2 linked regions of the Ovis aries genome follow. The protein of the gene in region 1 interacts with the protein of each later gene in a pairwise test. Links are inferred from orthologs where the notes say so. Each region holds a gene or a part of one and is shown in the gene's direction. Other genes may lie near its edges.

Region 1 (4,544 bases):
CGAATAAAAGTTTACAGCTCTTTTGGAAGACATCCGTAATAGAATTCTGAATGGCAGGCACATCTGCCATGTAAACTGTAATATATCACAAAGTTTAGTGAAATACCAGAAAAAAACCGTATTTGCCATTCAGAGCTATACATCAAGTATAGAGATTCTTTTCCGCCTATGGTGTATAAAGTCAGTATTTGTGTTTTACTTTTGAAAGTTTTTCAAAGATCAGTTAGAGTGCAGATGCAGTGGTGATATATTGATATGACATTTTAATAATGCTTTTGTATTGCACTTTATAGGTTTCAGACTGCTTTCGTAACAACCCTGTGAGATAGGCAGGCATCAAGTATTATCAGATCAAAGCTCAGAAAGGTTTTTTGTGATCTTTCCCTTAAATTTATACCACAAAATGATGGAGCCAGAGTTCAGTTGCAGAAATTCTGACTCCAAATCCAGAGTTCTGTACTCCACACCTGGTTTCTTTCTTTTTATTCTAGCTTTATATATTACTCTGAAAGCTGTGGTAACAAATTTTAAAACATTGTTTTGGCTTATTATCAAATACTGTTTTTAATGGCAGTGACCCAGACAATGTAACTCCAATTGTAATTATTCCAAAGAAAACCCGTCTTTTGTGCTTTGCAGTGCCACTTGTCTAGGTGATTGGAGTGTATTTCAAATACCATTTGATTTTGAAGCCAAGATTCGCTATATAGTTGTTATTGCTCATGTAACTTGTGGCAAATGTATCATCTCTGCATTCTCAGGCAAAGTAGAGATGGTTTGAAAGTAAAAAAGATTATTCAGATATAACCATGTGTCTTTATCCTCACAAATGCTGTTTCTTAGCTTTAACTTGCTTTGACAACCTACTGATGTAACATCTTTGTAAATGTAAGAATATTTATATTTTAAAATAAAATTACTAGTGTTGAATGAATCAAGTGGTAAACTTAGTCTCTGTTGAGAAATTCTATCTTCAGTGAAGTCAAACTTTAATGAATACATCTGTCCATCTCTTATGTCTTGTATCTTGCCTTGCCTTTGACACCAGTGCGCACAATGAATTTTTATGGAACATGGGCAGTTTACACCAGGGGAGATGTGTCTGTGAAAGCTCCAGAAAGACTGTAACCTGTAGAAGGCCTATCTTAGGGTAGAAGCCCGTCCCTACAGGCTTGACTCCTGTCCTAGTCTACCCATTATTAATAGTTTCAATCACAGCGCAGTTTCCAGGAATCTTGGGGAATTCGGATTTAGGAAGAGTCACTTCTCCGGAGGAGGGCAGGTAGCTTCCCTGAGCATGGATGTCCTTGGTCTGGTAAGAGGCCACATGTTCATGGGAAGGCCCTTTTTGGCAGGAGCGAGACTTGTGCGAAAGCCACTGAAGAATGATAAAAGAAACAAGATGGGCGGGAATGGGGGCAGGAGGGGCGGGGCCCGGGCTGGGGGGCGGGGCTGCAAGGCGGACCCCAGGCCGGAGCGCGTGGAGGCGGGGGGGCGGGGTCTTCCGGGGGCGGGGTCTCGGGCGGCGCGGGTGCCTTGCAGCTGCCGCGGGCGGGCGGGCCGGCTGGCTGGCGGGAGGCGGCGGGCCCGCAGCGGCGCGGCGTCCCGGCTGCGCGACGGGCTGAATAAAGGCCATGGCCGCCTCTCTGGGCCCCGCAGGCGGTGGCGGCGCCGGGGCAGCGCACGGCTCCGGCCCGTCGGGCTTCGCCTTCGACTCCGGACTCGAGATCAAAACTCGCTCGGTGGAGCAGACGCTGCTGCCGCTGGTTTCTCAGGTAAAGCGGCGCGCGCGGCCCCTGGTCTCACCCCCCTCGCCGCGGCCCGCGATGGCGGCGGTAGCTCCCGGCGGGGGCCTGGCCGGGCCGGGCCGGACGCAGCCGCTGCCCCACATTCCGTGCCGGGACTGCGGCGTCGGCGTCTGGTCGCCTTTCTGGGGCTTGAGGACTGGCCTTCGTTGAGGCGGAGGGAGTCTGGACCATCCGAAATCCGGCTGCGGGGCAGGGAGACCTGTGCGGACCAGAGTCCGGCTGCAGGTGCGCCGCCAGGCTTACGCACCCGAATCGCCCGGGGCTGCGACTCCGGCGGCCCCCGGCCCTGCTCCCGGGGAGCGGAGGGGACCTCCGCGGGGGCTCCGCTGGCCCTCAGGGGCCCTCCTCGCTGCCGTCACACCTTTGCATCTCCAGTCCCAACACGGACTGTAGCCGGTCTGGCTGGCGCGTGCCTCCGAGTCCAGCGTGCTCTCTCCCCTAGGCCTTTGTCCCTTCCCCGGATCGTGTGTAAGTCTGCTCCCCAGTCGCCCATTTACCCCGGGCCACCCTTCCCCTTAACCTGCCTGCTCACTTTAATTGGCTTTTGCTCGGCCTCGAAATGGTGAAGTGGAGGACCGCCTGATAGTTAATCCGGGTACACATCTTTTTGCCAAATCCCATTTGGGATGTATGGTTTATTGAATTTACCGGTCACAACAGAAGTCTGGAATCAGCTAATTGACGCGCTTAGCTTTAGAGAAGTTTTTGTTACTGAGAGCCGACTTATACGAACCCTCGGGGCTAGAATTCCTCTAGGTCTGATATGTGCCAAGCACTGTGGGCAGTGAAGAATTCTGTGCCTTAAGGAGCTCGCTGGATGTGTGACTCAACTCCTTTGTAACGTCTTGATGATTCACATTCGTATTGCCAAGATTTTCAAGGTAGAAGGAATCTTAAATGTTATCTGACTCTGAATTTTAAAAAATTCTCTCTTACAGCATCCTTGACATCTGGTCACCAGGGCCCTGCTTAAACATGCTCAGTGGTGTGGGCCTGTAGCTCGTCCATAGAATTTTCAATACTATTAATATCTCTAATCCATCCCAGCCTGCAAATATTTGATAACAGTAGCCACACATATCCCATATTTCTGTTATGCTGAGTAAATAGCCCATTTTCTTCACCCGTGCTTATTTTAGCCTGGCTAACAGAACAGTGAATAACCTTGATGCTCTGTATGGGCCTTCCCTTCCTTGTCGGAAAGAAGCACTGACAGGTGGGATGAGTTGAGGATCAGTTGGTGATGTCTGCATTTCCCTCTCCTACAAAAGAATACCATTACCACCACCAACACAACCACAACAGAAAATGAGAAATACTGGAGTAGTTTTAAGAGAGAGTTAAGAGAGTGGTATTTTATCCATTTAAAAATACAGTAATAAAGATAGAATGCTTACTGTGGGTGAGACCATGTTCTATGCACTTGATACATATTAGCCCATTTAATTCTCATAAATCTTACAGGGGTAGAGATATGTTTATTTTCATTATATGAATGAGGAAACTGAGGATAAGGGACTTGTGGGACTTTCACCTATAAATGTCCAACTAGGGTTTGCACCCTGACAGCCTCGTCCCAGAGTCTTAGCTACACCGCACTGTATTTGTCTCTAGAGATTAGAAGACGTGATGAGGTCAGCTAGTAGTAGGTCCAGATAAGAGAGTCACAATAGAAAACCAAGGTTGTTGTAATCTGCAGAAATGGTAACATTTCACAGTATCACTGCTAAAAATGTATCCTACAAGTTCTGCATTGTGTAATTCAGGGGTGAGAGAGGGTGGGCAGAGTAGGAGAGTGGAGAAGGAAACATGCATTGGCTGCTGAGAGTTAACTAGAGGTCAGTGCTAACGGGGGAAAATGTGGGCGTTTTTTTGTTTTTCCTTCCCTGTTAAAGGCTAATTCAGGGCCATAGCTGAGGTTCTGCATCCCACATATTATGTGTCCACAACTATATCTTTAGCATTATTATAACTGATGTTCCTAATGATTAACTGTGAAGGTGAAATCGCTCAGTCCTGTCCGACTCTTTGCGACCCCATGGACTATACAGTCCATGGAATTCTCCAGGCCATAATACTGGAGTGGGTTGCCTTTCCCTTCTCCAGGGGATCTTCTTGACCCAGGAATTGAACTGGGGTCTCCTGTTTTGCAGGCAGTACTCAACAATAAAAAAAGTTAAATCATGCTTAAAATAAAGAAATATCTATAGCATGGGCAAAACACTCACAAAGCAGAAGTGTGGAATGTGATTTAGAATGATTTTTATGTTTTAGTGAGTATTAGTGGATTCGGGAGTTAACTAGAGGTCAGTGCTAACTGGGGAAATGTGGGTATTTTTTTTGTTTTTCCTTCCCTGTTAAAGGCTAATTCAGGGCCATAGCTGAGGTTCTGCATCCCACATATTATGCGTCCACAGCTATATCTTTAGCATTATAACTGATATTCCTAATGATTAACTGGTTCCAAATAGGAAAAGGAGTACATCAAGGCTGTATATTGTCACCCTGCTTATTTAACTTATATGCAGAGTACATCATGAGAAATGCTGGGCTGGAAGAAGCACAGGCTGGAATCAAGATTGTCGGGAGAAATATCAGTAACCTCAGATATGCAGATGACACCACCCTTATGGCAGAAAGTGAGAGGAACTAAAAAGCCTCTTGATGAAAGTAAAAGAGGAGAGTGAAAAAGTTGGCTTAAAGCTCAACATTCAGAAAACGAAGATCCTGGCATCT
Region 2 (3,814 bases), on another chromosome or scaffold:
TGCGTTTTGACAAATGCACGAAGTCAGGTATCTGCAGTTATAGTTGTACTGCCTTCAAAACCCCCTGAGCCCCACCTTTGTGTATCCCCTCACCCCCTGCCAACCCCTGGCAATGACTGATTTTTTTTGCTATCTCTTTGGCTTTTCCAGAATGTCATACCATTGGCATCATACAGTGTCTAGCTTTCTCAGACTAGTTTCTTTCACTAAACATAATTAAGATTTGTGGCTTGACTGCTCATTTCTTTTTATTGCCAAATAATATTCCATTGCATACATGTCCCACAGTTTGTCTATTCACCTTTTAATGGACATATTGGTTGCTTCCTCCCCTCCCCCCCTTATAATTAAAGCTGTTTTCTTCTTTTTGGTTATAAACACAGCATTGGAAGTTCCCTGGTGGTCTAGTGGTTAGGATTCAGCGCTTTCACTGCTGTGGCCCAGGTTTTATCCCTGGTCAGGGGACTGAGACCCTACAAGCTGAGCAGTGTGGCCACAGATGAATAAATTCAGCATTATCCCTCAGGTCCTTAAAACTATTTGTTAGTATAGTGACTGAATATACTTTGCATTGGCTTTCAGATTACAATTGTCTGTGGATGGTAGGATATTGGATGATTTAAAATGTTTCTTCTTTCAACTCTGTGCATTTTCTACATTCATCATGATAAATGTGCAGTTTTATGGATAGAAAAAGCACCAACACTTATTTATAAAAGTTTTTAATTTGCTCAGGTGTCTAGATAAGGGCTCCACTCCAGAATTCCAGCTGCCAGAATGTTTAGGAGTGAGACCTGGATATACAAGAGCAAACAATGTTACCAGTGGTCAGCCACCTTCCTCTGAAAATTAGTCTGCATATGGCTTCTGAAACACATGCTATTTTGAGGGACATAAGTGCTTCTTAGAGATGAAAAATTAGTTCCAGTTTTTGAGGTTCCAGCATAATTTAAAAAGTGAGAGCTGTCCCCCCAAAGTTATTAAAAACTGTGGTTTATTTAGAGTAGAATAATGAAAATCTTGTATTTCTGTGGTTCTATGTAGGACCACTTTGGGAGGTAGTTCAGATTTCTCCAATGACTTCTGGGCCCCGCCTGCCTCTGATGATGGTCACCAGGTCTTGAGGTTGTTGCCAGAATATGTTGGTGGCCAAACTTCCTCCCACTCTCAGCCAGGCAGCTGCGCAGATGAAGCTCTGGAAGCGGAGTTGTTTAGCATTCTCATCTGAATGTTTCTTTAAATGTGAAGGACGCCGATAAACAAAAAGAGCTTGCATCTGTACAGCAATCTAGAATCTCCACGATCCTTTCATAGTAGATGCTTTTCACTGTTAAAAGGAACTAGGGGTGGTCGCTTTAATTTTTGAAAGGAGTGGTGAAGACGCAGGATGAGTCAGAGGTGAGAGTGGAGCTAAAGCCTGAGCTAAATGCCTTCCACTCAACGTACCAGCTGCCACCTGCACCAAATCTCCAGGCTCCCACCCTGCTTCCCCTCTGACTTCCCCAGTTCAAAATAACCCCAGTCTTTCCTTCATGCCTCACTCCCACCCCCCTGGCCCCATCTGATGGATGAACGCTGCTTCCCTGTGAACAACCAGCAGGGGGAGGTGGGAATGCGGAAAGTCCGAGGACTTTACCTCCTTTTCCTCTAGACATTTTTGTCACTTCCTTGCCCACTTCCTTTATCCAGTGTTTACGGCTCCCTCTGTCTAGAGCTGGTTCCCGGGTCCAGCTTTGTGTTCTGCTTTGCTCTTTTAAAGGTGGAGGCACCGAGGAGCGTCACAGAAGTTGACCGGGAGCTGGCAAAGCTGGTGGAACGGCTTATAGATATTGTCAGGAACCTTCAGAGTCCGAGACACCTCCCAGAATCTGAACCAGATAAAGAAGTGAGCATTCTGGCTATGGTAGGCTCATCTGGGAGAAGAAAGGATGTGCCAGGGGGTGGGGCTAGGGACAACTCCCTGGAACCGCTGGGAAGCAAGATGAATATGTTTGCCCTTGAAGGATGCGCTAAATCCCAATCTTTCACCTTGCTCTTCACTACCCAACACAGATAATTGGGAGTTTGGAATGTTTGAGGTGAGGTGTGAAGGCATCCATCCTTACCACTCCACATAACCAGCTTACTCCCCGAAGATCACCAGTGACCTCTATACAAATCCTCCAGACCTTCCAGCTTTTATTCTCATTGGCCTTTCAGCCACCTATGACATAGTTGACCACAGCATCATTCTTTTTTTTTTTTTAATTTTTAAAAAATTCTGTATGATTTTTAAAAGTTACACTTCGTTTACAGTTGTTACAAAATATCGGCTATGTTCCCAGTGTTGCACAACACATCCTCGTAGCCTGTCTCACACCCAGTAGTTTTTACCGCTCACTCCCCTGCCCCCGTGTTGCCTCTCTTCCCCTCTCTCCCCACTGATTTGTTTGGTTTTTAATATTTATATATATTTAATATATATATTTACAAAACACTGTGTAATAGCTGAATATATTTAAAAGAAAATCTGTTTTTGAAACCTGTTCTGCTATGACCGGAGATAAAACATCTTTTTCTTCCCCCTTTTTTCTTTTTAAAAAAAATTTTATTTTTGGAGTACAGTTGCTTCACAGAGTTGTATTTGTTTCTGCTGTGCAACACAGTGAATCAGCTACGCGAATATATATACTCCCCCCTCTCTCTTGAGCCTCCCTCCCATCCTCCTCCCATCCCACCCCTCTAGGTCATTAGAGAGCACCCAGCTGAGCTCCCGGTGATATACAGCAACCTCCCACTAGCTATTGCTAACCACAGATTTGTTTTCTGTATATCAGTGAGTCTGCTGCTTCTCACAACTTCATTCTTGAAGCTTTCTTTCCCCTTAGCTCTGAGATGCGAGTCTTCCAGTTTTCCCCCATGTCTCTCTGGCTGCTCTTTTCCGTCTGTTTGGCAGGTTCACTCTCCTCTGCTAAGCAGTGAAATGCTGGGATTCCTCAAGGCTGAGTTGTAGGTCACTGTCTCTTTCCCTCAGATGGCCCTGTCCACACCTGTGGCTTTCATTACCCACCCTGGGTACAAACGTAGCTTCAGTCTGGACCCTCCTCTGATCTGGTGTCTTCCTTCTCGTCTTTTCCTCTTGGCATCTCAGAGGCACATCACACTTAATCCATCCTGAGCTGTCTCTCCTCTAGGTACCCCGTCTGAGCAGCTGACCCTGTAACCATTCCAAATGCCCAAGTCAGAAAGCTGAGGATCATGTTGCCCTCCTCCATCACCTGCCTAAACATCTCTTGAACCTATTTACTATTCTGGAGCTTCTTAAAAACATCTCTAATCCAATCCTATGACCATCTCTGATCTGGATTTCTACCAAAGCCTCCTAATCACTCCATTCTGTTCCCTCTATAGAGTCACACTGCTTCTCATCACGGGGCCCATACCATGAAATGTTCTTCTTTTCCCCTGTCATGTAGGTCATGCCTGCTCATCCTTCAGACCTCGACTAGATTATCACTTCCTTGAAGAAGCCTTCACTGATTTCCTTGAACAAGTCAAGTTCCCTTACTAGAGGCTCTCATGTGTGTGATTCCATGTCCCTTTCTTTTGCAGCAGTTGTCAGACTTGTGACTTGATAGTGATTGACACCATAATTTATTGTCTTTCATTCCTGTTCCTAAGCACTGGACTCTAAGCTCTAGGGGGGCAGAGACCTTGATGACTTTTGTTCTTTTGTTCATTTTTGTTTTCCCAGGCCTGGCACAGTGCTGGGGACATAGTAAGTGCTCAGTAAATACCCAGAGTATTTGAATGAGTGAATAAATGGGTCCTCAGG

Evidence for each region.
Region 2: the proteins of CTNNAL1 (region 1) and RNF135 interact in binary tests that used the Homo sapiens proteins (3 or more experiments, as listed by UniProt). The two-hybrid records come from large-scale screens. The link is inferred for Ovis aries from reciprocal best matches to the Homo sapiens genes CTNNAL1 and RNF135.

The regions. Positions count from the first base shown.
Region 1 is NC_056055.1:14,277,545-14,282,088, forward strand, and holds the start of CTNNAL1 (alpha-catulin), read left to right. Parts: upstream 1-1,562; 5' UTR 1,563-1,634; coding exon 1,635-1,775; intron 1,776-4,544. UniProt on the Homo sapiens protein: May modulate the Rho pathway signaling by providing a scaffold for the Lbc Rho guanine nucleotide exchange factor (ARHGEF1).
Region 2 is NC_056064.1:17,747,196-17,751,009, reverse strand, and holds part of RNF135 (E3 ubiquitin-protein ligase RNF135), read left to right. Parts: intron 1-1,759; coding exon 1,760-1,903; intron 1,904-3,814.